Linked DNA regions of Lonchura striata. The protein of the gene in region 1 purifies or fractionates together with the protein of each later gene. This does not show direct contact. Links are inferred from orthologs where the notes say so. Each region holds a gene or a part of one and is shown in the gene's direction. Other genes may lie near its edges. The genes, in order: LATS2, SAV1, LIMD1 and ANAPC1.

Region 1 (6,970 bases):
ACCTAAACCATACTTAGAATTTTGTTATAGTTTATTTTTTTTACCTACTCAATTATTGAAGTACTGAGCCTAACTTTGACCATCAGAAATGCAATTTTGCATCAGGGTTAAGCATGCATATTATATTCACATATAGGTTGCATTGTCTGTACTGCGCTGGAGAACTCAGAACTGCTGTCTCAATCTGGTTTTGCATTGGTGATTAGGGAAGAATGATTCCCCAGTATCACTCTGCAAAGAGAATCAATGTGTTGAAACAAGAACATTTCAGTGACATTGTAAAGTCTTTTTTCTTGCACATCATTCATGTTACATCACACTGGTTTATTCTAAATATGTCACTGTTATTCTAAACAGGATGTCACTGTCAGCAAATTCCTTGTGTATGTATGCTTACATGTGTTCAGATGTTCACTATTATTTCACATGTGTGTGTTCCTCTTTTTGAAAAAAAAACTAGCAGAGGACTAAGCATTGCTGATAATATTCCTGCTTTACTTTTTCAAGTTTTCTGAAGGGATTCAAGCTTTTAGTGGCGATTAGTACTGTGTAAAGAAAAGGTTCATCCACCTACATCATAATTACTTGGTTGTTAGGAGTATTTTTAGCAGCACAATTTGGTAAATGGTTCCAAATACAATAATTTAGAAAGAGACACTGTGGCCCAGCAAACAGTGAAACAAGAGTACAAGGAGGGGATGAGGCAACACACAGCATCAGATGTCAGGATGGAGCTGCGCAGAGCTCCCACCACCCTTGTTGTTGCAGGTGGGTGGAAGGAGAAAGAATGTGAAATAGTGGATCTGTGGTCCTTCCCACTTGCTCACACGGCAAGACAGTTGCTCAGGCAAGTCAGCAGATGAGTGCTGTTATCACCACAGACCCAGTAGCATCACTCCCTGAAGCAAAACCATGAATGAACACAATGACCCTTACTCATGGTCGATTATTATCTCGTAGTCTACTCTGGGAACAGACTTGCTGCTGGCACAGCCCAAATTGCATTATTCTTTTTATGGAACATCTTTCCTTCTGGAGGTGCCTTTCTGGGGAGAAGATAGCTGGGAAGAAAGACTTGATGGTAATTTCCAAAGAGATTACTTTCACAGTAACCTCCAAAAACCTTAGAAAGATCAAATCATGTTTTAACCAAGTTGTTGTATCAACCTAGCTGACTTCAATTTCCCTTGTATTTCTGAGGAATGCAATTTCCACTAGTTTGCGTTTCTAAAAGGGTAAAACCAGAAACCATCTACAGAGTGTTTACATCTGTGGTGCACCTGCTGAATACGGGCACCTTCTAGAGGATGGATGCAACCCATCTCCCCTGTACTTTCTGCTCTGCTGGTGGGAATTCTATTCCCAATTCTGTGCAAATGCGTTAAATTCAGAAAGCGCAGCTGGCTGGAACCAGGAAGCAAAATCGTGCAACTGAGTCTCATTCCCAGATGGATCAGAATGCAATAGGAAAACAAAAAATTCCAAAGGAGAAAAGTAAGTTAAAATATCTTTTACTTAGATTTAAGAAAGCTGTTAACAAGTAAATCTTACAAAAGGGTATTATAGCACAGAGTAAGCAATTTTTATCTTGATGCTGTTCCTTTAAACCAGCCTGAACTTTGTTGGGAAAAGGTCTCAAGCCATTGAGCAATGTCTGGTTTGGGCAATCATGTTGCTATGCTTCATCGGATAAGCACAGCAGTAATTCAGAAAATGAAGCCATGCTGCATCTGTCATATCATTTAAAACTTACTTCAGTTTTGCAGGTATTTGAAGATTGCAAAATGACCCACATTTTCCTGCAATATTCTGCCAACACTGGAATCTGGTCTGAACCTAATGGATTTCCTTATCTTTAGCTTTCCAGAGTGAGAGAAAAGTTTCCTCTTTCCCCGCCCTGACCCTGCCCTACAATATATTCCAGTCAATGACACTATTGAAATTCTGACAGCAATTTATATACAGTAACTGACTGCCTTCAGATGAGATGCTAAACAATTTCTATGCAGGCTGCATTTTTCTCCTGAAATGCAGCACTCTATTCTTCTCCCAAACCAGGACTTTTATAAGCACTATGTTTTTAATAAGCATTATTCATTCATATAGGCACTATTGACAATTTTGCATGGAAGACATTAAAAAAAAAAACTACAATAAGCAAGCTCAGAGAAATATCCTGAGATAGGACTGTCCATAAGTATATTACTTACAAAAATAGTCTCCCTGGCTTGGAAAAGGCTGTAAATATAGCTCCCATCCTGGAAAGACAGTTATGCACAGACTGTGCTTGCAGTCCTGTGGAAGACACTGGGGCTCATCACATGATTAAATGTGTCTTAACAGTTTGCAAGACTGACATTTTCCCTGCCAAACAGAGCAACCCCACAATGAGCACCTCTCAGCTGTGCAACAGGATTTTAAGAATTTTGAAGAATTTCAGGACTGCAGGCTTCTTCCATGTTAATGATCTAAAGATATATGCCTATATATAAGAAAGTTTATTTTCTTGTGTTTTTTTACTCTGTATGAATACCCCCTGGTTATGACTAGCCAGCGTCCCACATCCAAACATTAATGTATTTGGGAGTGTGGGGATTATTTCTCATTGTGAATTGTGTTTATTTAAGACCAGAGAGATAGCTAAAATTATATTATTCCTGCTTTCTTGTAAAACAGGTTCACAGGGGGACATCATCGCTCTCTAAAACTATCTGAAAGGAGGTTTAGTGAGGTGGGAGTCTGTCTCTTCTTCCTGGTAACAAGCAGCAGGACAAGAGGAAATGGCCTTAAGTAGTGCCAGGGGAGGTTTGGATTGCATCCTAGGAAAAAAATTTTCTTTGAAAGTGTGGTTGGGGCATTGGAATGGGCTGTCCAGGGAAGTTGGGAGGTCAGGACTTCTGGAAGTGTTCAAAAGGTACATGGATGTGGCATTTGGGGATGTGATTTAGTGGTGAACACATTGGTGCTGGGTTAATGGTTGGACTCAATGATCTCAGAGATCTTTTCCAGTCTTAGTGAATCTATGAATCTGGTTCCAGGTACTTCCATCCATAGCAAGGTCAAATATGAACTTTGTATCCAAATATCCTTTGCAGCTTCATTCTGCATTTTTGTTCCAGATGTGAATTCCCTGTCTGTCCTCTGATCTCTGATACCTCACAGCTCCCTTGTCTCCTCACCATTATGAAACAATATGAAAAACAAGTAACTGGTCCTCGAAAGAAAACAAACAAACAAAAAACAAACAAACCCCAAAGCAAACCAGAAACCAAAAGGAAACCCTAAGAAGGCACTGATCAGTGCTGCAACTTTATGTGTCTGGTTAGTCCAGCATGCGATGGATACTGGCAGAAATAATGGTTATCAGCACACACCTTTCAATCTAAATTAGTTTGGAGCATGCGGTGAGTGGAAGAGCATTTCCAAGCCACCTGTTTCCCAGAGAAGCCGTGGATGCCTCATCCCTGGAAGTGTCAGAGGCCAGATTGGATAGGGCTCTAAGCAACCTGTTTTAGTGGAAGGTGCCCTCCATGGGCAGGGGTTTGAAACTAGATGGCCTTTTAAGGTCCCTTCCAACCCAAGCTATTCCATGATTCTACTCCGGCCCATTCTGCCGCAACAAGTGGAGGCAGTGCCACCCCTCTCCCGCCAGAGCCCAGCGAGGAGCTGCTGTGACGCGGAGTGGGTTTTGTGAGGGGGAAAAGCGTCCCTTGCTCCTGCCCGTGCCCCTGCGGCCGGGCGCTCCGAGGGGCCGGCGGGCGGAGCGCGGGCGGCCCGCGCCGCTCCGGTCCCGAGGGCGCCGGCCCTTCCCGGCCCTTCCCGGCCCTTCCCGGCCCTTCCCGGCCCTTCCCGGCCCTTCCCGCCCTGGAAGCCCCTCCCCCCGCTGGAATGCGCCGGGAGGGGAGTGGAATGACGCGGGCGCCGCGGGTCACGTGGCGCGAATGGAATGCCAACAATGTAGCGAATGTCCCGACTGCGCCCCGCACTCGGCGCCCGGGACGGCCAAGGGGGAGGATGGAGAGCGGCCCGCGCCGCCGCCGCTGCTGAGCCGCGCCGAGCCGACCGCGGAGGGCGAGCGGCGGCGCCGGGCGCCCCGGGAGGTGAGCGGAGAGACTGCGGGGGGCGCGGGCTCCCCCTCAGCTCCGGGCGGAGCGCTCCCCACCCCCCAAAACTGCTCCGCGCGGAAGGGAGATTCCTGTGGGGAAGCGGGGGGTGCGGGCGAGCGGAGCTGGGTCGGTCCTGGAAGCGGGAGCGAGCGTCCCGCGTGTGAGTCCCCTGGCGGGGGCAGTCCGGGCGCCCTGCCCGCGCCCTCCGACATTTTCCGGACACTTGTGTGACAGCGCGGCGCAGCTCCGGCGGAGCGGGCTGGGGGTCCGCCTGTCCGAGGCCTCTGCCCCAGCTGGCCGGAGCTCTAGTAAATGGCCGGAGTTTATTTTGGGAGCTTTCTGCCCACGAGAGGAGTGGGGGGAGAAGGGGCTGCCGGCGGCAGGAGGTGCGAGGCGACCCGGCGGGGCAGACCCTGCGGGGCCGGTGTGGCAGGGAGCGAGGGCCGCGGGGAGCTGGCCGGGGCACGCAGAGCCCGCGGGGGCACCCGCTGTTCCCGGCCGGCTGAAGGTCACTGCCGAAAGCCAGCAGCTCGCCACCCTCTCCGCCGCTCCGTGAGCGGCGTGCGTGTTGAAATACCCCTTTCCCCGGGAGAGGCACTCGCGCAAATGACGCAAAAAGGGCTCGTTTGGAGTGTCCGGACTTTGCGGTCAGTCACTGCCGGGCTGCTGTGGAGGGGGAAGGTGAGCTGCTTCCCACAGCCCTGAGCTGGGCCGGTGCTTGTGGCTGGCAGTGGGACACGGGCAGAGTCAGTTTTGGACAGTTCTGTTGGCAGGAAAGGCAGAATCGTTTTAGGGAAAATCCCCTTCTCACTTTTCTCCGTTTCCACAATGTGCCCACTTATAAAGAGGACCACGGTTTGTATAATAATGAAATTCCTGAAACGCTTTCCCCCCCCATTGTAGACCTTCAACACAAAGTGAACAGTCCCTGCTTTCTTGAATTGGTGTTCTAAAAAAGCCCCCAAAGCAATCGCTGTAAATTGAGAGATAGAAGGAAGTTGTAGCAGTTTCTTAAAACTTTACTCCTTCCTATACTGCAGTGATTTCAAGTTCAGCCCACTCCATGCCTGCACAGTTACAGGGAAACAGCTCACCAGCTTGGGTAAGCTTTAGTTTCTTGCCTGTGTCCCAGCTCCAGTGAGCCGCTAGCACATGCAGCCTGTTGGTGAATGAAGAAACAGGAGAGTGAATAGATAGTGCTGCTGGGAAAACAGACATAAACGTATAATTTCAGTGTGTCATTGATCGGTTGTTTAGTTGCTGACAGAGCAGCTATTGGTGTTTCTCAAATGAAACAATTAGTTACTCCGTAATTGTTTAACTTGATGTAATTAAAGTAATGCTGCACCTGCTTGAAGTGTCCATTATCCTTCAGGATAATGGACAAGTTTCTAACTAGTACAGAACATGTAACATTTTGGAAAAGACCTTAGGATTGTTTAGTCAGAATGGCTAACAGCTCAAAAATAATTTCTTCTGCTGGCAGGAAGGCTGTTGTTATATCTATGCTGCAGGCAGGGTGCAGATTAGAAGGATTTGAAATTATCCAAATCCAGATGTACAGTTAAAAATGCTTAGACAGAATGAGACACACTACATATCTTTTAAAGCATACAACCATTTAATGATTTTTTCTGAAAAATGCAGATCACAGGAAGATATAAAAAAGCCAGCAGCTTGTCTTTCCTTGTAAATCATCTGTAATATTTAGTTCTTTTTTTTGTTTTACTTATCTTACATTTTTAGTTAAGAAAAAAAAAAAAAAACTCTGCAAAATATGAAACAGGTTTGCAGTTAGCTCCAATGCTGCTGTTGCTGCTCTCATCCATACTGTCTAAGCGAGCAACATTTCTTTCTGGTTTAAGCAGTATTGTAAATGTAAAGCTAAGGAAGTTGCCAGCTGGCTTGACCCAGCATTATTAGACTCGAGCTGAGGCTAAAGGTCACAGAAGTTCTTTATGTGAAGCATGTGTGTAAGTGGGAAAGCAGTCTTTTGCTGCAAAAAGGTGGGGGCCTTGCAAGCTTTCCCAGTGCGTCCCAGGCCTGAGGATTGGCACAGGGACTGAAAAGGAAGAACAACCTAGATGCCTAAACCAAGCCATATGGTGCCTTCTGCTGTCAGGAAAAGAAAGAAAATTATCGACCAGTTAATTGCTTTGTATCTACTAAGCACTAGCTAGTTATGATGTAATCCACAGAAGGCTGCAATACTATTGTATTTTATTTTTTAGCAAGCCTGTGTATTATCTTTTGCTATATTCTGTCCAAGTAGAAATAAAAAACTTTTTTTGAGATCCTGCAGTTGCTTTTGTTTTGCTTGGGACAATGAAAGCTTGATCTGTTACTGACCAATAGCTGGTTTGTGGAAGCATTAAAATTTGGATGAACAGCTTTAGCACTTCCCTTAAAACAATTGGCAAATGTTGCTGTCACTTCTCTGTGAGTTGGCGTTGCAGTATATTAATGCAGAGCACTGAATGGAGGAGCTCAAGTCCTCAAACACATTATAGGTGGTTTTTAGTTAATGGAGCATTTAAATCCTAACAAAAAATGTTGACTTGGGTTAATATCAAGCGATTAATCTGTGCTCCTGCATTTCAGACTGGTGAACTGTCATAGAAGAGTCTGGGGTCTGACTGCACTGTTGCATTTCAGACCTTGGTAGAGGAAAGCCTGATGTAGACTCTGTCCTGATGGGGTGGTTGTGGGCTTCAGAAGTGAATGTGTCCCGATTCTGTTGGGCTTCACAGCAGTAAGCTGTTTGCTTGGTGGTGAGAAATGATGATAAATGCATGGAAATGGTTGTTTTTTTGGGAAGTGCTACAGCTATCACAACAAAAAGAGTTTGTAGTATGAGCATGGGA
Region 2 (7,117 bases), on another chromosome or scaffold:
CCATGTCAGATATGAACTACTTCATTACACAAAGTGTTTTAAATGTTTTCAGCTCTTTATGAATCACTGTGAAAATAAAGGCACATAGACATTTCAGGTTGGGGGTTTTGGAAGGGGACAGACCCCAGGTTAAATAGAGGTGTACAAAATTGACACAGTTGAAGTGCTGCTTGTCAATTTAGAATGATTTAAAAGTCTACATGGTGGCACATGCTCCAAGTAGTACTTTAAATACAAGGAAAAATTGAGTTGTTTGAATTCTGGTTGAGGAAAGAAACAGGATTTTAACATATTTGGTTTTAGCCAGGTTATGTGTTACAGCAGGGGGAAGAGTCTGGATTGATCAAGAGTAAAATCTTTTTGTTTACTTCCAGCACATGCCATCCCTGTCACTCAGGTTTTCCATCATTTACCTGTCCAATCTCCTGTTTGGTGTCATTTTATGACAAACAACTTCTGTATAAAGGAAAACAAATGTATATTATTTTTTTTCTATTGAGTTTGTTTTGTTCCGGTGTAATATATTGTCCTTAGAACATCATGTAAAGCCGAGAGAGGAAGCAACTGACACATTATTTATAATGAGTATAAAAAATACATTAATGTACAATGCATACTTGTGTCTTTTTGGTTTTTATCCAGCATGAAAATAATAGAATAATTTGGGTTGGGAGGGACCTAAAGCCCATCCATTCCCACCCCTGCCATGGCAGGGACACCTTCCATTATCCCAAGGTTGTTCTAAGCCCTGTCCAAGCTGACCTTGGACACTTCCAGGGATCCAGGGACAGCCACCACCTCTCTTCCCATGGATGTTGTAAACACTTCAAATAGTATCTGCAAGTTTATCAAAGGCATGCACAATAATAAAAAGGATGGCTTGACAGCTGTGAAAAAGTAGTTTTTGCATTACAAAAGTATGACATTGAAGTGTAAAAAGCTGACAGGTAGTGAACACACCTTGGCTTCTGTTCAGCTGAAGTTGCATCCCTACTCTTCGCCTTTATATGGGAAGTATTGGGGGCTCGTTGCAAGATTTTCACACAGTCCTGGGGTGGGAAAAGCAGGAGGGGACCAGCGTGGGTCCCTGCTCCTGGTCAGGCAGGGGGACGGGGTACAGAACTGTGCCTAGTTCTGGGCTCCTCATGACAAAAAACACCGAGGGGCTGGAGGATGTCCAGGGAAGGGAACAGAGCTGGGAAGGGAATGGAGAGTTCCTGAGGAGCCGGGAAGGGAATGGAGAGTTCCTGAGGAGCTGGGAAGGGAATGGAGAGTTCCTGAGGGAGCTGGGAAGGGGCTGGAGAGTTCCTGAGGAGCTGGGAAGGGGCTGGAGAATCCCTGAGGAGCTGGGAAGGGGCTGGAGAGTTCCTGAGGAGCTGGGAAGGGGCTGGAGAGTTCCTGAGGAGCTGGGAAGGGAATGGAGAGTTCCTGAGGAGCCGGGAAGGGGCTGGAGAGTTCCTGAGGGAGCCGGGAAGGGAATGGAGAGTTCCTGAGGGAGCTGGGAAGGGAAGGGAATGGAGAGTTCCTGAGGAGCTGGGAAGAGGCTGGAGAGTTCCTGAGGAGCTGGGAAGGGAATGGAGAGTTCCTGAGGGAGCTGGGAAGGGAATGGAGAGTTCCTGAGGAGCTGGGAAGGGAATGGAGAGTTCCTGAGGAGCTGGGAAGGGAATGGAGAGTTCCTGAGGAGCTGGGAAGGGAATGGAGAGTTCCTGAGGAGCTGGGAAGGGACTGGAGAGTTCCTGAGGGAGCTGGGAAGGGGCTGGAGAGTTCCTGAGGGAGCTGGGAAGGGAATGGAGAGTTCCTGAGGAGCTGGGAAGGGGCTGGAGAGTTCCCGAGGAGCTGGAAGGGGCTGGAGAGTTCCCGAGGAGCTGGGAAGGGAATGGAGAGTTCCTGAGGGAGCTGGGAAGGGGCTGGAGAGTTCCCGAGGAGCTGGAAGGGGCTGGAGAGTTCCCGAGGAGCTGGGAAGGGAATGGAGAGTTCCTGAGGGAGCTGGGAAGGGAATGGAGAGTTCCTGAGGAGCTGGGAAGGGGCTGAGCCTGGAGCAAAGGAGGCTCAGGGGACTTTGTGGCTCTCACAGCTCCTGCCAGGAGGGGACAGCCGGGGGGGATTTGGGATCTGCTCCAGGGAACAAGGACAGGAGAAATGGCCTCAAGTTGCTCTAGGGGAGGTTTAAATGGGATACCAGAGAAAATTTCTCCACAGAAAGCGTTGTCAGGTAGCAGAAGGGGCTGCCCATCCCTGGAGGTGCCCAGGAAGGCCGGGATGTGGCACTGAGCGCTCTGGGGACAAGGTGGGCACCGGGCACGGCTTTGGACTCGTTGATCCCGGAGAGCTTTTCCAGCCTCGGAGATTCCATGATTCCATCACTGTGGGGTTCTGTCGCTCTGTCATCCCGGGGTTTCTGTCATTATTCCAGGATTTCTCTCATTCTGGGATTTCTGTCATTCCAGGATTTCTGTCACTCCGAGATTTCTCTCATTCCGGGATTTTTGTCATTATTCCTGGATTTCTCTCATTCCAGGATTTCTCTCATCCCGGAATTTCTGTCATCCTGGGATTTCTGTTATTCTGGGATTTCTGTCATTATTCTGGGATTTCTGTCATTATTCCGGGATTTCACTCATTCCGGGATTTCTGTCATCCCAGGATTTCTCTCATTCTGGGATTTCCGTCATTCCAGGATTTCTCTCACTCCGGGACTTCTGTCATCCCAGGATTTCTCTCATTCCAGGATTTTTGTCATCCCGGGATTTCTGTTATTCTGGGATTTCTGTTATTACTCCGGGATTTCTGTCATTATTCCAGGATTTCACTCATTCCGGTGTTTCTGTCATCCCGGGATTTCTCTCATTCCAGGATTTCTGTCATCCCAGGATTTCTCTCACTCCGGGATTTCTGTCATTCCGGGATTTCTCTCACTCCGGGATTTCACTCATTCCGGTGTTTCTGTCATCCCAGGATTTCTGTCATTCCGGGATTTCTGTCATCCCGGGATGTCTGTCATTATTCCAGGATTTCTGTCACTCCGGGATTTCTGTCATCCCAGGATTTCTCTCACTCCGGGATTTCTGTCATCCCAGGATTTCTGTCATTCCAGGATTTCTCTCATTCCGGGGTTTCTGTCATTCCAGGATTTCTGTCACTCCGGGATTTCTGTCATTCCGGGATTTTTGTCATTATTCCCGGATTTCTCTCATTCCAGGATTTCTCTCATCCCGGAATTTCTGTCATCCCGGGATTTCTGTTATTCTGGGATTTCTGTCATTATTCCGGGATTTCACTCATTCCGGGATTTCTGTCATCTCAGGATTTCTCTCATTCCAAGATTTCTGTTATTCTGGGATTTCTGTCATTATTCCAGGATTTCACTCATTCAGGGATTTCTCTCATTCCAGGATTTCTGTCATCCCAGGATTTCTGTCATTCCGGGATGTCTGTCATTATTCCAGGATTTCTCTCACTCCGGGATTTCTGTCATCCCAGGATTTCTGTCATTCTGGGATTTCTCTCACTCCAGGATTTCTCTCACTCCGGGATTTCTGTCATCCCCGGATTTCTCTCATTCCAGGATTTCTGTCATCCCGGGATTTCTGTTATTCTGGGATTTCTGTCATTATTCTGTGATTTCTGTCATTATTCCAGGATTTCACTCATTCCGGTGTTTCTCTCCTCCCAGGATTTCTGTCATTCCAGGATTTCTCATCCCAGGATTTCTCTCACTCCGGGCTGTCTCCTCCCAGGATTTCTCTCACTCCGGGCTGTCTCTCCTCCCAGGATTTCTCATCCCAGGATTTCTGTCATTCCAGGATTTCTGTCATCCCAGGATTTCTCATCCCAGGATTTCTCTCCTCCCGCCCGCTCCGTCCCCGCCGCTCCGCCTGTGCCGCGCCCTCCCTGCCGCGCGGGGGCGCTGCGGCCGCTCCCGCGCTGCCCCGCTCCGCCTGTGCCGCGGCCTCCCTGCCGCGCGGGGGCGCTGCGGCCGCTCCCGCGCTGCCCCGCGGCCGTGCCGGAGGGCGGCGGCCGCCGCCTTCCCACAAGGCCCCGCGCGCCCGCCGCGTCCCCTCAGCGACCCCGGCCCCGTCCCGATCCCCGTCCCCGTCCCCATCCCAACCCCGCTCCCGGTCCCGGCTCGGCCCCCGGGGGCGGCTTCGGAGCGGGGAGCGGCGCCGGGCATGCGGGCGGTGGCAGCGGGCCGGGAGGTGGGATGCTGTCGCGGAAGAAGACGCGGACGGAGCTCTCCAAGCCGGGCGAGGTGCAGGGGAAGTACGTGAAGAAGGAGACGAGCCCGCTGCTGCGGAGTGAGTGTCGGGGGCTCGGGGGGCCCATCCCGGCCTTCGTGTGCGGCGCGGCGGGCCCCGGAGCTGCGCGGCCGGGCGTGAGGGGGAGTTACCCCTGTGGCTGCGTGTAAGGGTTATTGCTCCCTGTAAATGTGTGCTTAGTGCTGCTACGAGCCCTGGGAGGTGAAAGCTGAAAGGAAGTTAAAGCTCAAAGGAAGCTTCAAAGGGAGCCCTGCTCGTTCCAGCGTTTTCTTGGTGGGGTTTGTGATTTTCTCGGTGGCTGTTTCAGCAGGCCTCAGGGGTTCAGAGTTGTGTGAAATGAAGCCAAGAGCTCTCAGGGTGTGCGGGATGGGGAAGGTGCCTGCGGCACGGGCGGCCAGCCCGAGTTGTTCTGGGTTCCGTCCATCCATGAGCCCGCTGCCCCACCTGGGCATTGTCAATGAGATAACTGTCCCGCCAGACAGGTAAAATATCGTAAAATAAAATCCCTGCGGAAACAAATGCTGCAGCTCCTGCCCGTGGCTCAACCTGGGCTGCCCCTGGCTCTGATGCCGCAGCCCTGCGCTCCTGAGGCTGGACACCACAAATGCACACCGAAAGTGTGCTCAAGGTTTGGTTTTGTTGGTCTTGAAACACAACCCGACGCTGAAATGGGTCTGTGTGCTCAATAAATTGACTGCTGACACCTGGGGTGCACCAGATTTTAACCGTAAGCTGTAAGAGTTTATGAATAAAAAGTAATTGACAATAGGAGTAACGTCGTTCTAAATGAAAATTATCATCTATATTGATTTATCTGGAAGGAATCTATGTATTTATATCGTGTTGAAAGTAAAAGTAGGGAGAGGAGGAATGTTTCACATACTGGAGGGAGGCAATGAAATTCTAAAGGAGAAAGTGAACTATCTCCCTGATAATTTGAGAACTTAATGCTTATGGAATGACATCGTTTTTCTGGCTGAACTTTGTGACTTTGGGATTAGTGGGGGCAGCGTGAATTCTATCTTGGATTCCTGTGGGCATTAATATCTTGTCATTCCCAGTTTGTAAGGACAACATTCCCAAAGAAGCAGTAGCCAAGATATGTGGATTTTTTCTGAGAGATACGAACCCTGACTGATACAGCCACAGCACAGTGTGGGTGGTTTGGTGTTTTGTTCTTTTCTTGTGTGGTTTTTTTGATGGGTTTGGGGTTGGTTTGTTTACTGCAGCTGCAGTTTTACTGGCAGAATGCTCAGCGGGTTCCTGGTGTGGTGTGTGCGCCAGGATTCTCTGCAGCGTTACCACCACATTTGCACAGGCGTTAGCGGCTCCTGCACGAGAATTCCCCCAGTTTGAGTGTGTAAATCACCGCGGCTGCTCCGGCAGAGTTCTCACCTCTCCTCCGTGCTCTCTGGCAGATCTGATGCCTTCCTTTATCCGCCACGGTCCGACCATTCCACGACGAACCGATATCTGCCCTCCCGACTCCGCATCCTCTGCCTACGCGCCCGGCGGCGATGGGATCGTGTCCCGCAACCAGAGCTTCCTCCGAACTGCGGTGCAGAGGCCGCCCCACGAGATAATGAGGCGAGAAAGCAACAGACTGTCCGCACCTTCCTACCTGGCCAGGGGCTTGGCGGAGGTGCCCAGGGAATACGGCTCCTCCTCGCAGTCCTTCCTGGCAGAAGCCGCCCCCGGGCTGGAGAACGGCGACGCCGGAGCCCGCGGCTATTACTACGATCATTTCTACGATGCCCAGAGGAGACGCCTGCACGAGGACTACAGGTATTACGAGCACAGCAGCGATCTTTTCCAGAGGATGTCCCAGAATCATGGGAGGCACACTTCAGGTAAGGATTCGTTGTTGCTTTTGTTAAAATTCCGGTTTTGGTGAGAGTTTGGGTGCAGTTTGGGGAGTTTGGATGATCAGGATTGTGTCTGAGGTGTGTGGGACAGAGCTGCTTTTTCATGGCATTTCTGGGATTTGGGTAATTGGAATTGAGGGTTTGGTCACAGATATCCAGAACAGAAAAATAGACTTAAACCAGGATTATTTTCTTAAATAAATGGAGTAAGGCCAAGCAAGTTTTGGGGTTTTTAATGCCAGGCGTATGTACATCTTCTCTACACATCACTTGCTGGCTAGCAGGGAATTTTATTTGTTGGGGGACATCTCCTATTTTCATAATGTAGAGAATAACCAACAACTCTAAATTACAACATTACATTATTATTATTATTATTAATGTTAATATGAATATTAATTGTTATTGTTATTAGCATTACATTTTAACTATCGTCTTATTACTTCATTTCATTGTTTGAATTTGACTTCAATAATAGAAATAATTCCTTACAAATAGTCATAGGGAAGAATGACTGTTTTTTGTAATTAGTAAATTGGCATCTAATTAGTGTTGGCATTGACTCCTTAATCCTTGACTCCTTTCGTTCAGCTTTTAAAATTGTTTGTAAATATGCCTGTTCCCCTCTTAGTTTCACTGGAACTTGCCTTTGTTTCCTAAAACAAAACAACATAAAAAAGAAAAATCCATTACATACTACTTTTCTGAAATATTTGACTCTGATATTATAAAAACTATGCCCAAGAAGGAGTTTGGAACATTTCAAACCTGTAAATAACATCCCTTCAATATGAAATACATTGTCACTTGTAATCTGTGAACAAAGTAGTAATTAGTGGCTAATAAAATGAATCTCCTGTCTAGAAAAAGAAATCTGCCAGGAAGAACATCAGCTTTTAATGCTGCTGACCTCATGTGTGGGATTAGAACCTGTCAGTGCCTTCTTCATCAAAGAAACACTTCCATGAAAAATGGAAATGCCAGCCAGGAAATTCT
Region 3 (7,036 bases), on another chromosome or scaffold:
CTTCACATTTTCTCCATCTCTCTGCAATGTGAGCCCAGACACCAACGTGGCAGCAAGAAACAAAGACGGATGATCCCCTTCCTGCTCTCAATCGCGACTTCCCCGTTTACCCGGGCAGGCAGAGCTGTGCCCCAGCCTGCCGGCCCTGGAGAGCGGCACTGCCCCAGCACAAGGCTGCGGTGATGTGCCCAGCACTCCAACCGAGGTGCAGCCAAAAGCTTGGAACACCGCTCGGGGCTGCTTCTCCCCAAATCACTGCCTCCCTCCACCTCATGGGCAGCTGAGATTGCCACGTGGAGCGGGGCTGAATTACAAGCTGTCAGCGTTATTTTGCATTAATAAATGCAGTGTGTAAGCCTTGCCCACAGGAACAAAAACAGATTAAATGAGCAACGTTTTTTTGGTTTTTTGGTTTGTTTGGTTTTTTTTTCTCTTCAAGGGGTAGGGTTTAGAATAAGTTAATTCAAATTGGCTCATAGATCTTGGTCCTGTGTTATAACAGCAATCGTAGACCCCTTAATTTCTTAATAGGCATGGGCTGTAAATGTCACAGGAACTATAAACATGTGGGAGCATATCTAATCACAGCAGAAGGGTCTGCAAGTCAGTGTAGTATTACATCTCCAGTCTAGTAGAAAGTTCAAGTTAATCATCTGCTCACTTAGGAATACCCCTAGCACAAATCTCACAGAAAAGAATAAATCTGAGCAGGAAGTTTCAAAGGTGTTTTGCTGCCTGATGTTCACGGAAAGCGTCGCAGTTTCAACTCCAAGATGCCTTTGAATCGCTTGGCAGTGATCCCCCTTCGAAGGCGCTTGCCATCAAAGTGTCTGCTCATGCATGCGGAGCCTGGAAGGAGACCAAGCCCAGTGCGAGGGGTTCCCTATCCAAAGGGCTTCAGCAGCCTTTTCCATGCCGTCCGTGTAAGCATTGTTCTGCAGACAGCTGATTTGATCCTCTGGCATAGGAAGGAAATGTACTTTACATAGCTGGTGAAGGTCAGCAGCATCCAGAGCAGCCATTTGGCAAGAAGTCTGCTTCCCCCCACTCCTTCCCCCTGCAAAGTGGTGAGCTCCTCCAGGTCAGACTGTAAAAGGACTTACAGATGTTAGATAAAAAGTAACGGCAGAAAATGTGTGCATGACCCTAAAAAAGAAAACTAAAATACATGATCTGATGGAAGTTAGATTTTTCCTTGGTTTTTGTGTTGAAAGCCGAAAATAGAGATATCTTCCCCCAAATCCTTCTGCTCCACCAAATGGGTGGTTTTTTAGAGGGATGGAAAAGCCTCATCTCAGTGTGTTGGAATTAAAAAAAACTCCAGTAGACACAAGTCTGAGTCTCTGATGTGCTGGATGCACATCATCCACAGGCACATGGCTTCTCCTGATTAACTTCACATCCTTTGGGTAGAAGGAGGCAAGAAGGAGCACGATGTGTAATTTCCTTTCCAACTGCTCTTTGTCCACGTTGCATATTCCTCCAGCAAGTAAAGCAGTGCTGGGGCTCACGCTCTCATCCTTATCTACCTGATGCTCTGTTTCCTTTCTGTCATTCTCTGTACAAATATGAACTGAATATGTGCTTCAGAACCAATTTTTTGTTACTTACTGTTTGAACACTGAAGCTTGCCCATTTTAGATAAAAGTGGTCAGACTGAAAGCTAAGCACCTCAGCTAAGCCCATCTCCAAAAGCATCCTGAAGCCAGCGATGAGGAGGAGGCATCCCAGGCCTCAGTCACTTGCTGTGGTTCTCCTGGTCAGCCCAGGATGTTGCTAAAAACATACTTCCAGGAGCCCTTTCTGAGGATGCTCTTTAGACACTGAAACTGTTTTGGCTTTCATTGCCCCAGCTGAGCTTTACCTCAGACTTGACAGTTTTGGTCAAGACCCACAAAAGAGGTAGTCACTCTCGCTGGTAACTGGTGACCTGAGCCTACACCAGCCTGGCATGAAGCAGCTGATGGGGGCCACTGTGGCCTCTCCCAGCCACAAAAATGGGACCCCTTCCACTCCAGCACAAAGAGCCCTGGCACAGGCAGGGGTTTGTTGTCTTTGTACAGTGTACACCAGACAGAGTCTAAAAACTCCTCCTGAACTCCTGGGACTTGTGCAAAGTGGGGTTTAGCCTCCAGGGACCCAGCTTCTCACAAAGTGAAACGGGGCTTGTGGGGATCAGCCTGATAGAGCCATGAGACCCCTCCTACCCTCATCCTCACAGCAGAGGAGGGCTTGGAAAGGTCTGATAGATGGGGCTGCTTGATATTTGGGATATTTCTCTGATATTGTGAAAAGCTCCAGCATTTTCAATATCTTTAAAAAGTGTCAGGCCATGGTTAGTAGCAATATGTGCTGGGGTGCCACTTCTCCAGGTCCTGAGGACTGGGGGAGCTCCACTGCTGTGCTTCGCCCTGTGCTGGGATTCCCATCCACCTGTCTTCCCTAGAAACCATAAACCTCCTTATCTAAAGCTGTGCTATGGCTGGGCTAACTTTTGTGAGTCCAAAGTTCATCAGCTCAAGCTCCAGCCTAAGGCTGTTGCTGCAGCCTCCAGCTCATCCTGCCTCAGCCTCTCGGTCCTGCTCAGAGCTTCTTCGGAGACACCACAGCAGTTACGAGGTTGCCTTGAAAGGCAAGGCACCTTTTCCAGAGGCTCACAGTGCCATCATTTTTAAGCACGTTAATTCAAATCTCACAGGTCTGGCCCCAGTTGCTCAGGAGTATTTTTGTAAGGGAATGGGTCAAAGAGGGGAGGGAATTTTTTTTTTTTATTTCTGTCATGTTTTGGTCACAGCCCAATTCGCCATTATTAAAGGCAGAGAATTTCCACATTCCTTAACATTTGGCCCTCCCTCCTGGTGCCTGGGGGAGAATTACAATAACAAGTTATGGGAATGCCGGACACGTGCCTGGGCCTGTAGGATCAACTGCACCAGTAAGTTTTATCAGGGGTATGACAGCTACCTACCAACCAGCCTCTCTCACGAACCCAGCAGAGGTTCCTACTGCAGCCCCCAACCTCTGAGCAGTTCCAGGCTGTGTTTTGCCATGAAAATTTTGCAACTGGCCCAGGCTGACAGAAGAGGGAGACTGAGAAGTAAAGTGTAGATTCACAGGAGTAAGTCTTTCATCACAGACATGAAGTGTCCCAATCACATAGGGGCACCCCAAATGCAGTTTTACAGACAGCTCCTATACCTTCTAAGCATTTGGGAACAACATGCTTTGCCCAGTCCCTATGTATCACACATATGCTACCAAATTCCAAAGCAACAATAATTTTATGATGTCATGATCCATCTGCTTCTTTCCTAATCTGAATGTCTCTGGAGTTGGTCTTGCTGCAGTTACATGTATGATGCTGGATAATGGGGTGAGGGTGTTCCCAAAGGTGCCTGGAAGGCTGGGATGCTGATGTTATCTTGGGCATCCAGAGGTATCCTTTATTCTTCAGGCAAGGGGTCGTCTTCCTGCAGTGATCCAGGTTCCTTTAGTCATGCTAACTTAAGCATGATATCCAGCATAGAATGTCTATTTACACCAAGAAAAGTAATATAATTTCCTGCTATACATACTTATTGCTCCAATAGTTATGGGATGAGATTTTCCTCGCAGTTTTTCATGGGGGAGTAGGGCTGTTGTTTGTTTTTGTTTTACCCAAAGGGCGCCTGTGATTTTTCACAAGGCTTCTTCAGGAAGGTTTCCGGGCTGCAGGGTGAAAAAGAGGAGTATCATCCAGAGGAATATCATCCGACTCTGGAATTCTCATCCAGAGACGAGGCAAAACCACTTTCATTGCATCACTCGGGTGCCTTTAGCCACCGTGCGCACCCCGTTCCCAGCTGTGCTGGCTGACCCGCGCCCTTCCCGAGCCCGTTCGGACGCGGCGGGACGTGCGCGGGACCGCGCCCTTCCGGGCACACCGCGCGCCCGCTGCGGAGCGGGCCGGGCAGCGCGCTCGGCGCTGGGCGTGGCTTGGGCGCGGTCAGCGGGTGGGTCGGGGCGTGCCCTCCGTGACCGCGCCCCCTCCGCGCCCCAGGCCACGCCCCCGGCGGGGACGGGCGCGGCGGGACGGAGCGGCTGCCGCTGCCGGCGTTACCTTGATCCCGGCGGGAAGGAGGAGAGGAGAAGGAAGAGGAAGAAGAAGAAGGCGGCGGGGGTCTTCCCGCTAAGCCGGGCAGGATGGACAAGTACGACGATCTGGGTCTGGAAGCCAGCAAGTTCATCGAGGACCTCAACATGTACGAGGCCTCCAAGGACGGTCTCTTTCGGGTGGACAAAGGTGCCGGCAACAACCCCGAGTTCGAGGAGACCAGGCGGGTGTTCGCCACCAAGATGGCCAAGATCCACCTCCAGCAGCAGCAGCAGCAGCAGCAGGAGGAGATGCTGATGGCCGCGATGAACGGAGGGGCTGCCGCCTTCCACCCCCCCCGTCCCAGCCCGCCGGTGGCGCGGGGTTCGAAGCCGCCCCCCGCCGCCGAGGGGCCGCGAGCGAGGCCCTGCGAGGGAGGGGAGCGGGGCTTCGGAGAGAGCGGCGCACGTGCCGGGGCCCCGGGGAGCCAGGCCGGGCGCCGGGGCTGGGAAGCGGAGCCCGACAGGATCTCCCGAGCGGGGGGCACACAGCCTGGCGTGGGGCGCGGGGAGCAGCAGGCTGGGAGCCTCGGCGACCCCCTGCCCTGCCGCGGCGGGCAGGAGAACGGCGGCCAGGGCAGGCGAGGTGTCGGGGGCCGTGACCCGATGCCGGCCGGACAGAGCTCCTCCTTCTCAAACTCCGGGATCCCCTCGGCACCCTCGGTAGGGCCAGAGGAGCCCCCGCCGCAGCAGAGGTCCTCATCCTTCTCGGCACCCTCAGCGCAGCCCACTCGAGGGTTTTCAGGCTCCGCTGAGCCCTGCGGTCCCAAAGCCGGAGGAGATGGCGGCCAGCCGTGGTACCAGGGTGTCTCGGTGTCCTTCCCGCCAGACTCCGCAGCCGCTGCTCCCAGCGTGGAATACCGCAGCCCGGGCAGTCAGCTGGTGGCCCGCGGCCAGACCCACAGGCCCGCCGGCAGCAGCGGGAGCCCTGAGGCGGGCTCCTCGCGCCTGGCCTCGCGAGGGATGCCGGCTCCCAGTGCGCCGCAGAGGCTTTTCCCGGAGGCCGTCAGCGGGCCGCGGTCAGACTCGGGGCACCTGGATGGCTCCAGCGCAGCAAAGGTGAAGCTGCCCTGCCAGACCCTCCTTCCGCAGCCAGAGCAAGGGCCATCGGCGGCTGAGCTGAAGCTGGAGGCACTGACCCAGCGGCTGGAGCAGGAGATGGATGCTCGGCCAAAGGCTGATTACTTTGGTAAGGAGGCGATCCGCCCGTCGCTCACTGCAAAGTGTCACGGCAGGGTTCAGACCTGCAGGATTGCATTTGCCTGTACATCTGCTTGGTTGTGCTCTGTCAGTTGCCTAGAGCAGAGTTTATTTTATTTAACTTTTATTTATCACTGGGATTAGAAGCTCTTCCTCCTGCAACACCTTTTTCTTCAATCCTACCTCTGTAATTTTAAAGCAAAGGTAGTTTAGCAGCTTTGGGGGGCGGGCGGCAGTGCTAGGAAGAAGCTGGAACAGAGTATTTTGAAGTGCCCTTCATTGCCAGCAGGGAGGCACTTAACTTTTTTTTGACAATACTACTGGTTCTGTGTCTTAGAAGGACGTGTCCCGACCACGGGCAGGAAGGCAGCCATCCAGCCTGCGGGGCAGTCCTGCCTGCATAGGCAGCCGTCATGGAGAAGGGCACGGAGTACAGGGGAGGGAGAAGTGTCTCAGAGATGGGGAGGGCGGTGGTTTCCCAAAATTGCCAGGATTTCCCTCTGCCTCCAGGTGCTGGATCCCATCAGCAGTGAAATGATTGGTATGTCCTGAAGATGTCAGAACAGGCAGTAGGCACGTTCTTCCCTAAATCTGGGGTCTGTGATGAGTCCAGACCACCACCAGAGGTTATCGCTGGCACTTGGCAGTGGAAAGGAACCACTTATGTACGAGGATCTCCTGATAAGAATATTGAATGTCCTTCTGGATTAAATTGATTTGCTACCCCAGGATGGCAGGAGGTCAGGGTCAAATTGCGTGTTTCCTTTCCCTGCTGTGCCACTTCACAATTTAACAGCAGATAAGATAGCTCAGCTTTTGGGAGAGGGAAGCCCAGAGTTGCTGGGAAGGTTGGAAACTCCATGGTTAATTTAAGAAACTATGGGAGCAGGCCAGGTGTATGGATATTTCTCATTATTTTAGACCTGCAGTTGCAGAAGTAGAAGAGGGACAAATTAAACTCTTCAGCCTAGTACTAAGGAAGGGTTTGCATCTCGGCCAGCACAGGTGCTGTTGCACTGGGTCCTGTCTGGTGGGGTCGGTGGGTGGCTTAGTGGTGGTCTGAGTCACACAAGAGCTTCATGCCGAGATTTGGGATGTAGCTGGAGGGACCACCGAGCGCTCAGCTGCAGATTGCATAACAAAATGTGTTTCTTGGCAGCAGGCAGGGGGATTTGCCCGCATAGGGCTGTGCCGGGATTGTTTATCTTGGTATCCGAGACTGAATTAAGCCCTGTGGCAGGGCAGGGGCATTTTTTTATCCTGTCGCAGAAAAGTGATGTGTTCAGCTGCTCTACTCACAGTGTTTTGGCCTGGAAACAAGTTTTGGCACTTTCCGTCCTGTGCAGGAAGCGCGCGGTTTGAATGAGATCAGGGAGCCTCGCTAGGGGAGCCTGAATGCCGTGACAAGGAGCTGATAAAGGAGATGGTGTTGGGACAGCAGGCTCGCGGCAGGTGATGCTCGAAAATGGGAATGTTTTTCTGGAGGTGACATTCAGCTCCACTGGAGAGGTGTCAGGGTTCTCTCCAACAGACCCTGCTGTGTCTTCTCAGTAAACCAGCTGGATCATACCTCATCTAAAATGTGCCTGGGGATGGGCTCAGGAGGCAGAGGAACCCAGTTAATGGTTAGATTACTTTTACATTTTTGTCACAAAATAAGGATGCAAGGCAGAAGGAGGCTTTGTCCTGTAGGAGATTTATAGTG
Region 4 (7,832 bases), on another chromosome or scaffold:
ACAACTTCCTCTGTGCCATCCCTGGCAGTGTCCAAGGTGGATGTGGCTTGGAGCAGCTTGAGCTATTGGAAGGTGCCCCTGGCCCGCGGCAGGGAATGGGATGAGTTTTAAAGTCCTTCCAACCCAAAGCATTCCATGATTCAGACACTTGTAGAGTGACAAGGTCCCCCCAAACACTTGTAGAGAGTGACAAGGTCCCCCCTGAACCTCCTTGTCTCCGGGTTGAGCCTCCACCCCTAGCTCCCCCAGCTACTCCTGGTGCTCCAGACCCTTCCCCACCTCCATTCCCATCTCTGGACACACTCCAGCACCTCTAAGTCTTTCTTTTCATGCAGGGCCCAAAATTGCCCCCAGGATTTGAGGTGAGGCCTCACCAGTGGTCACACAGGGGGACGGTCACTGCCATGATCCTGTGGCCACACCACTGCCATTGGCCTTCTTGGGCACCCGGGCACACCTGGGCTTGTGATCAGCCACTGCACACCTCGGACCTTTCCCAGCCCCTCAGCCCCAGCCTGCAGCGCTCCATGGGGTTTTTGTGACCCAAGCGCAGGACTGGTCACTTCACCCTATGGAATCTCACTCACCCCATTGCCCTCTGGCCTGCCCAGCATGGGAATGCTGTGCTGAAGGCACTGCTCCTTCTCACCTGGCCCATACCAGCAGGATAATAGGGAACAGGGACAAAAACAAGGAAAGGAGGAAGACCCAGGGGAAACCAACATAAGCCATTAACCCAAGGCAAACTGAACAGATCTCTTGTGGCATGGGAAGGAAACAAGGGAGTTTCTGGATATTCAGACCCTGCCCCAACACTGGCCTTGCATGGGGACATTTGGGACCAAGGTGTATCGGGGTCATGCGTGTTCCCCTCGCCTGCTGCCTCATGGGAAGGGACTGGGATTTGGGGAACCAGCATCCTGATGATGTGGCTGAAGGGCACTGGTATTTCTCTGCACCAACCTTTCTGCTCCCTGAACCTGTGACACAAGTCACTGCCTGCTGTACTCTTCCCAAAGAATAGAAACACACCACTTTGAAGCCTTTTCCATCTGGGAAGAAAAACCTCCTTAAGCTCAGCTAAAAAACTGCAACAGATCACTCCCAGTCTTCTTTGACTTGCAAAGTTGCTTATTCACTGCACATTCCCAGGCTTTGGTGACAGGGATTGAATTTTCATCCCAGCTTCCCATATCTTGAAGCCATCAGCAGCCAAGGAAGGGCTCATGGACTTGGAGGCCCCGAGGAAAGGGAAGAAGGAAAACTCACTAAAACTGCTGCAAGAAGTTGGAGCATCTTCCATGAAGATCCAGCAGCACTGCTTTTCCTTCAGATGTTGGGCATATTCCCTGTGGATCCAGCATCCCTCAGGGAGCAGGACAAGACCAGGGACAGACATTTGTCCCATGCCTGTCATTTGTGGTCAGCCTTTGCTACATGAGTGCACTTTGATCTGGCTGCATTCCTTGCTGCTCCTGCTGGCTTTGCAATTTTTGGAAACAAAGCAATGGAAAAGCCTTTGGACTTTGTGGGCTGCAGGCTGGGAATGGCCCTTGCATCAGGATACAGTCACCCCACTAACACAGGGTGAGGAAGAGAAGCAGATTGTGCAAAAGAGGAATTTAAAAAATAAACAAGAACATGCAGGACCATAAAGAGGATTTCAACAGCTCCCAAAAATCCCCTGATTTGGGTCATTTCTTTGCAGCAGGTTGGGTTCTGCTCCAGCTCCAGAGGGTTTGTTGCACAGCCTGACGTGAGGAACAGGTTGAAAGGGAGGAAAAAATCGGAGAGGAGAAATCAGAGGAGAAACTCTCAGGTGATAGGAAAAGCCTGGAAGCAGTTGGCAGGAGCCAATCTGGCCCCTTTGGCTCTAGGATACCTCAGTGCCATCCTCCTGCTCCTCACAGCATATGGAATACTGGAATGGTCTTTTTTGAAGCAGGTGATGGATTTCCATCCTCAGAGCCCAAACTCAACAGTTGCTGGGGAGTATCCCCACAAACCACTCATGGTTTTTGGCCCTGACTCACCAGATCATGCCAAGCAGCATCCCCTGTTCCCACTGCCTGGGTTGGGAATCAGGTGGCATTTGGCCCTAAGAATAATTCCTGGGGCAGTGGGAGAGGCAAAAAGGCAACTGGTGTCAAAAGAAGGAGGGACAACCTTTCCTGAGCAGCAGGATCAGCCCTGAATCAGCTAAACCAGTCACTACCCAAGGTTATCTGATCCATCACCAGCAAGGAGGAGTCCATGTTTTCCTGCTGTGTCCTGCACCAGAGGGAGAGATCCTTATCTTCACAGCCTGGGTGAGAAGGTCCCAAAAGATCCCTCTCTGCAGGGATCCTCAGCTCTTCCTTGGCGGGATCCCAGTGATGCAGGTGTCTGAGTCTGACCCATACTTTGCAGTTTCACTTCAGTGCATTGACTCTGTTTCCTCACCAGACTTTTGGGAGACCTTGGATCCAATTTTTCCTTTGGGAAATCGGATTGTTTAGCAGAAATGGCACTTGGCAATCAGACGTGTGGGCTTTTGTCTGCTGAGGGTATTTTCTTCCCAGCTATTTATGTGTTTTTATTTTCATTTTGCTAAATCATTCCTTTATTCCTGCTTCCTCTTTGGGCCTATTTTTATTTTGATTTTCAGGGGCTCCTGTTCTTTCAAATGCCAAACTCCTTTGGCAACACGTCCTTAGCTGAGGGCAGCTGGCCCGTTTGTGCTCAGTGCTAAACCCCAGACACAGGATGCGGCTCCCAAACAATTTGAAGGGAAAACCGGAACTTTTTGTGATGCCACTAAAATGCCTTTTTCTTGCTGTGCCTGTTCTGGGCACTGGGACACCCTGCAGCTCTTACCGGGCACATCCTGTCCCTTGGCTTAGCTGGCTCTTCCCAGAACAATTTCTCCTGCTCTGCAAATCACTTTGCGAAAGCAAAGGTTGGACATTGGCTTTTCCTACCCTGCTTCTCCTTTCTGAGAAGCACTTCTGTCTCAGCTTAAACCAAAGAAACCCAGACTCCAGTTTCAAGTATGTTTTCAATTCATCCACAGCTTCTCCCTTCTTTGCTTATTGTGAAACTCATGTCTTGAAAATAAATAATTTGCCCTTTCAGTTCCCATCAAGCTACTCCATACATGTTTTAGAGGAGGGTTAGATGGGATATTGGGAAGAAATCTTTTCCTGGGAGGCTGAGGAGGCCCTGGCACAGGTTGTCCAGAGATTCTGTGGCTGTCTCATTGCTGAAAGTGTCCAAGGCCAGGTTGGATGGGGTACAAATCCTATGAGAACAGAAAGGGTTGTAAAGCACTGCAAGAGGCTGCCCAGGGAGTGGTACAGTCGTCATCCCTGGAACTGTTAAAAAAAAAAACAAAACATGTGGACGTGGCAATTGAAGACATAGTTTAGTGGTGAACATGGTCGTGGTGATGGCTGATGGTTGGACTTGATGATCTGAACGGTCTTTCCCAACCTTTGCTCCTATCCAGGAGGGAGAGGGGATGGCACAATCTCCCTCCATTCCAGACAGAACAGCCCCTCCTATGTGACAGAAGCGAGGATTTTAGCCGGGATAAGTCAGCAGAGCCCAGACTTACACAGATTTATGCTAATCCATGTCACAAGCACATGGAATGGTGGCAAGAGAGTTGTACCCATGCCCGGGGTGGCTGCAGAAGCCTCATTGGTCCCACAAAGTAGCTTCTTAAGCACCGTATCAGAGAATTCCAGAATCCCAGAATGTTTTGTGTTGTAAGGGATCTCAAAGATGATCCAGTCTCACCCATTGCATGGGCAGGGACACCTTTCACTATCCCAGGGTGCTCCAAGCCCTGTCAACTTGGTCTGGAACACTCTCAGCATGGGGCAGCTTCTCTGGGCCAATGTCCATGTCTCGAACACAGATGGCCATGGAGCTGAATTGTTGGGAATAACGGACAAGGATTGTTGGTACTAAATGCCAGGTAAATGAACAAGATGTAACTGGAGAAGGGGCCATGCAGAAGTAGGGCAGGGCTTTTCTGGAACAAACATCCTTGTTCCAGTTCAAGAGACACAATAACAACAACAAAAAGAGCATCAGCACAGAATTCTTTCTTCCTTTATGTCGGAGCCCCTTCAGGCGCTGAAAGGGGCTCTAAGAGCTCCCTGGAGGCTTCTCTTTTCCAGGTGAACACTCCCAATTCTGATGGAGATTGAGCCTAAGATTGGATACATCTTCATCCCACCTCCTCTTTGAAAAGCAGTTTAGGAAACAAGAGGGTTTATTCTGTATCTCCTTTACCCTTTCTTCCTTTTTACATCACTGGCTTCCATCAAAATCACTCTACATGGACTCTGATTATTCTTTATCCTGGGATGCTGGGATGATTTGGGTGGGAAGGAACCTTAAACATGATCCAATTCCTTGCCATGGGCTGGGAAACCTTCCACTATCACAAGTTGCTCCCACCTGGCCTGAACACTTCCAGAGATGGGGCAGCCACAGCTTCTCTGGACAACTCTTCCAGTGCTTCACCACGCTCACAGGGAAGAATTACTTCCCAATATCCGTCTAAACGTATCCTCCGTCATTTCAAAGACAGTCCAGCACGACCCCAGGCCGTGAGCTGGGCGATCCATGACGGAAGTCGCCACGGGAGGACAGCAGTCCCCAACCACCGCCGCCCGGCAGCGCCGTGCCAGCGCTCGGCGGGACTGTGGCACCGAAAGGGCATTTTGGGGGAAGTCTCCCCCGAGGATACGCCGGGAGGCACTGGAATGCCGCAGGACACGGCGGGAACAGGCGCGGCCATGGCGGGGCGGGCGCGCGCGGGGCAGCCCGGGAGCGCCAAGATGGCCGCGCCCGCGTGAGGGGCCGCCGGTGCCGCTCCCCGCGCGTCCAGGTGCCCGCGGGACCCGCCGGCGCGTCCCGGAAATAATGAGGATATCGGGGCCCCATGTCGGACCACTGTGACGAGAGGGCGACGATGATTGCGGCCGGCGACCTGCAGGAGTTCGCGCCGCGGGGCCGCGAGCAGAGCCGGCGGCACCCCAGCGCCCTGAGCCTGCAGCTGCGGCGTCTGCAGCCCGCGCCGGAGCTCTGCTCCTCCGACGGCGCCGCAGGACTCGTGGGCTCCCTCCGAGAGGTCACCATCCACGACCGGCAACGGGTACGAGCCTTCCTGAGCTGGGCGTCGGGAGGGAAGGGAGCTTGAAGCCCATCCGGCTCCCGCCCGCCGCCGTGGGCTGGGACACCTTCCACCAGACCGGGCTGCTCCAAGCCTCCTCCAGCCTGCCCTTGACTTCCAGGGATGGGGCAGCCTGCGCCAGGGCCTCACCACCCTCCCGGGGAAGAATTCCTTCCCGATATCCCACCTAACCCTGCTCTCTGGCAGTAGGAAGCCATTTCCCCTTGTCCTGTCAATCCAGACTCGTGTCCAAGTGCCGCTCCAGCTCTCTTGGAGCCCCTTTAGGCACTGGAAGGGGTTTTAAGGTCTCCTTGGAGGCTTCTCTTCGCCAGGTGAACAGCCCCAGCTCTGCTGGAGTTCGAGCCTAAGATTGGATCCATCCATATCCCAGCTCCTCTCTGAGAAGGAGTTCAGGGAGGAAGGGGGTTCACTCTAAATCTCAGAACTCTACAAAGGGTCTCCCTTGCCCATTCCTCCCTGGCTTCCATCAAAATAAATCTAAATGGATCCTGATTGTCCTTACCATGGAATGCCAGGGTTTTTTGGGGTTGGAAGGGATCTTACGGATCATCTCATTTCACCTCCTGTCATGATCAGGGACACCTTCCACTATCCCATGGTGCTCCAAGCCCCATCCAGCCTGGCCTGGGACACTTCCAGGGATGGGGCAGACACAACTTTTCTGTGCCAGCACCTTGTAACTGGCCTAACTCATCACACCCGTGGGTCTTGTGGCTTTTCTTTTGACAAACCTCTGTTTTCCAGGAAAGCTGGCAGCTGAGGAAAGGCATCAGTGATGTCGGGGAGGAGGTGGACTATGACGAGGAGCTGTACGTGGCCAGCAATGTGGTCATCTGGAGCAAGGGCAGCAGAAGCCAAGCGTCCACTGTGTACAAGGCATTCACCGTTGACAGCCCCGTCCTGCAGGTACAGAAATGTGGGAAAGGGGCACTGAGGGAATCCACAGACCCTTTCTAGGCAGGGAACAGGGGAAGGTGACATTGTGTGGGAGCAGCTCGTTCTGGAGAATTAATGATGCTCTGTTGGGTTTCAGGCCTTGTGGTGTGACTTCACTGTGTTCCAGGAAAAATCAGAAAAAGCTGATGGTGAGTGTCCTGCTTCTTGTGCTGCTGGGCAAATGCTCTGAGTTCAGCTTTCTTGGCTTTGAGTCATGGAATTGTTTAGTTTGGGAAAGCCCTGAGAGGCCACCAAGTCCAGCTGTTGCCAACGCCACCACAAAACCACATCCCCAAGTGCTGCATCCACGTGGCTTTTATAGCCCTGTGCCTGTGTCAGGGCTGGATACTCTTTTGGGGAAGGAATTTTCCCAATATCCACCCTGAATCTCCCTGGTGCAACTTGGGTCTATTTCCTCTCATCCTGTCCCTTGTTCCCTGAAAGCAGAGCCTGACCCCAACCTGGCTGCACCCTCTTGTCACAGAGTTGTGCAGACCCGGAAGGTCTCCCCTGAGCCGTCTTTACACCAGACTGAGCTTTCTCTGCCAGTCTTTGTTTTCCAGCCCCTTCCCAGCTCCATTCCCCTTTCTGGACACACTCTAGGAGCTCATTCACCACGACTTGAAATGTCAGAATTTACTTTTTGTGTATAAGGGATGTCGGAAACAGAGTGAAACTTCACTGTGTAATTGTTTTGTTCCTTCCTTTCCAGTGTCAGGCAATGACGAAATAGTGGAGAAATGTATCTGCATTTTGCAGAATTCCTGCATAAATGTGCACAGCATGGAGGGGAAGGATTACATCGCTGCTCTGCCTTTCCAGGTAACTTCTGCCATGCTTTTTGTCCACATTTATGTTTCCCTGCTCTGCGCAAAAAGCCTGAACATCGTATTTTCCTATAAGACCCTCAAACATCATCAACACAGCACATGGTTGATGTTTTTATCCCACCATAAATCCATATTTTTTTTATAGGTTGCAAATGTCTGGCCAACCAAATATGGGTTGTTATTTGAGCGCAGCAGTTTTTCCCATGAGGTGCCTCCAAGTCCACCCAGGTATGAGCTGAGGAATTTGGGTGGTTTCCTGTTGGATAATCTAATAAGGAATGGAAAGTTGAAGGGCAGTAGTGAAATATCCGTGTGTTTCTGATAGAAAAAGGTGGAATTGGGTGGAAAAGGAGGAAGTTATGTTTGACCCTCCCTGGAAGTGTTCAAGGAAAGCTTGGATGGGGCTTGGAGCAACCTGGGATGGTGGAAGTGCCCCTGCCCGTGGCAGTGGATGGAATAGGATAATTTTAAGATTCCTTCCTACCCAAACCATTCTGGGATTTTATTGATGCATTTCTTCCAGTCTTTTTATATCATCCCAGTGACTGAGTGAGCACACTCAAAGCTGAGTGTTAAAAACTATTTGGGTGTGCTGGTCCCAGGAATAGGATCTGGGAAGCACCAGCCTGATTCCATTAAATTTGTCCTAGGAATTGATTTCAGGCTGTCATGGTCAGCTGGGAGAGTCACTGAGGGATTAGCATCGAGACATTATCTCTCAGCTGCAGGATCCCATTTCCTCTTTGGTGAGGATCCCATTCCCTGCAGAGTGGGGATCCCATTCCCTGTTGGCTGAAGCTTCCAACTCTTGTGGAAGCCCTCTCTGCATCCCAAAGGAAGCAGTTGGACAATGTGCTGATGAGCAGCTTTAATCCACT

The links.
Region 2: the proteins of LATS2 (region 1) and SAV1 purify together in Homo sapiens (affinity purification with western blotting; 4 studies listed by BioGRID, with this or other methods). This does not show direct contact. The link is inferred for Lonchura striata from reciprocal best matches to the Homo sapiens genes LATS2 and SAV1.
Region 3: the proteins of LATS2 (region 1) and LIMD1 purify together in Homo sapiens (affinity purification with mass spectrometry; 3 studies listed by BioGRID and IntAct, with this or other methods). This does not show direct contact. The link is inferred for Lonchura striata from reciprocal best matches to the Homo sapiens genes LATS2 and LIMD1.
Region 4: the proteins of LATS2 (region 1) and ANAPC1 purify together in Homo sapiens (affinity purification with mass spectrometry; 3 studies listed by BioGRID and IntAct, with this or other methods). This does not show direct contact. The link is inferred for Lonchura striata from reciprocal best matches to the Homo sapiens genes LATS2 and ANAPC1.

The regions. Positions count from the first base shown.
Region 1 is NC_134604.1:71,597,788-71,604,757, forward strand, and holds the start of LATS2 (serine/threonine-protein kinase LATS2), read left to right. Parts: upstream 1-3,949; 5' UTR 3,950-4,100; intron 4,101-6,970. UniProt on the Homo sapiens protein: Negative regulator of YAP1 in the Hippo signaling pathway that plays a pivotal role in organ size control and tumor suppression by restricting proliferation and promoting apoptosis.
Region 2 is NC_134608.1:2,199,262-2,206,378, reverse strand, and holds the start of SAV1 (protein salvador homolog 1), read left to right. Parts: upstream 1-4,098; 5' UTR 4,099-4,201; coding exon 4,202-4,295; intron 4,296-5,674; coding exon 5,675-6,106; intron 6,107-7,117. UniProt on the Homo sapiens protein: Regulator of STK3/MST2 and STK4/MST1 in the Hippo signaling pathway which plays a pivotal role in organ size control and tumor suppression by restricting proliferation and promoting apoptosis.
Region 3 is NC_134603.1:111,426,430-111,433,465, reverse strand, and holds the start of LIMD1 (LIM domain-containing protein 1), read left to right. Parts: upstream 1-4,021; 5' UTR 4,022-4,182; coding exon 4,183-5,320; intron 5,321-7,036. UniProt on the Homo sapiens protein: Adapter or scaffold protein which participates in the assembly of numerous protein complexes and is involved in several cellular processes such as cell fate determination, cytoskeletal organization, repression of gene transcription, cell-cell adhesion, cell differentiation, proliferation and migration.
Region 4 is NC_134605.1:27,745,936-27,753,767, reverse strand, and holds the start of ANAPC1 (anaphase-promoting complex subunit 1), read left to right. Parts: upstream 1-4,823; 5' UTR 4,824-4,936; coding exon 4,937-5,149; intron 5,150-5,932; coding exon 5,933-6,094; intron 6,095-6,221; coding exon 6,222-6,273; intron 6,274-6,836; coding exon 6,837-6,946; intron 6,947-7,099; coding exon 7,100-7,182; intron 7,183-7,832. UniProt on the Homo sapiens protein: Component of the anaphase promoting complex/cyclosome (APC/C), a cell cycle-regulated E3 ubiquitin ligase that controls progression through mitosis and the G1 phase of the cell cycle.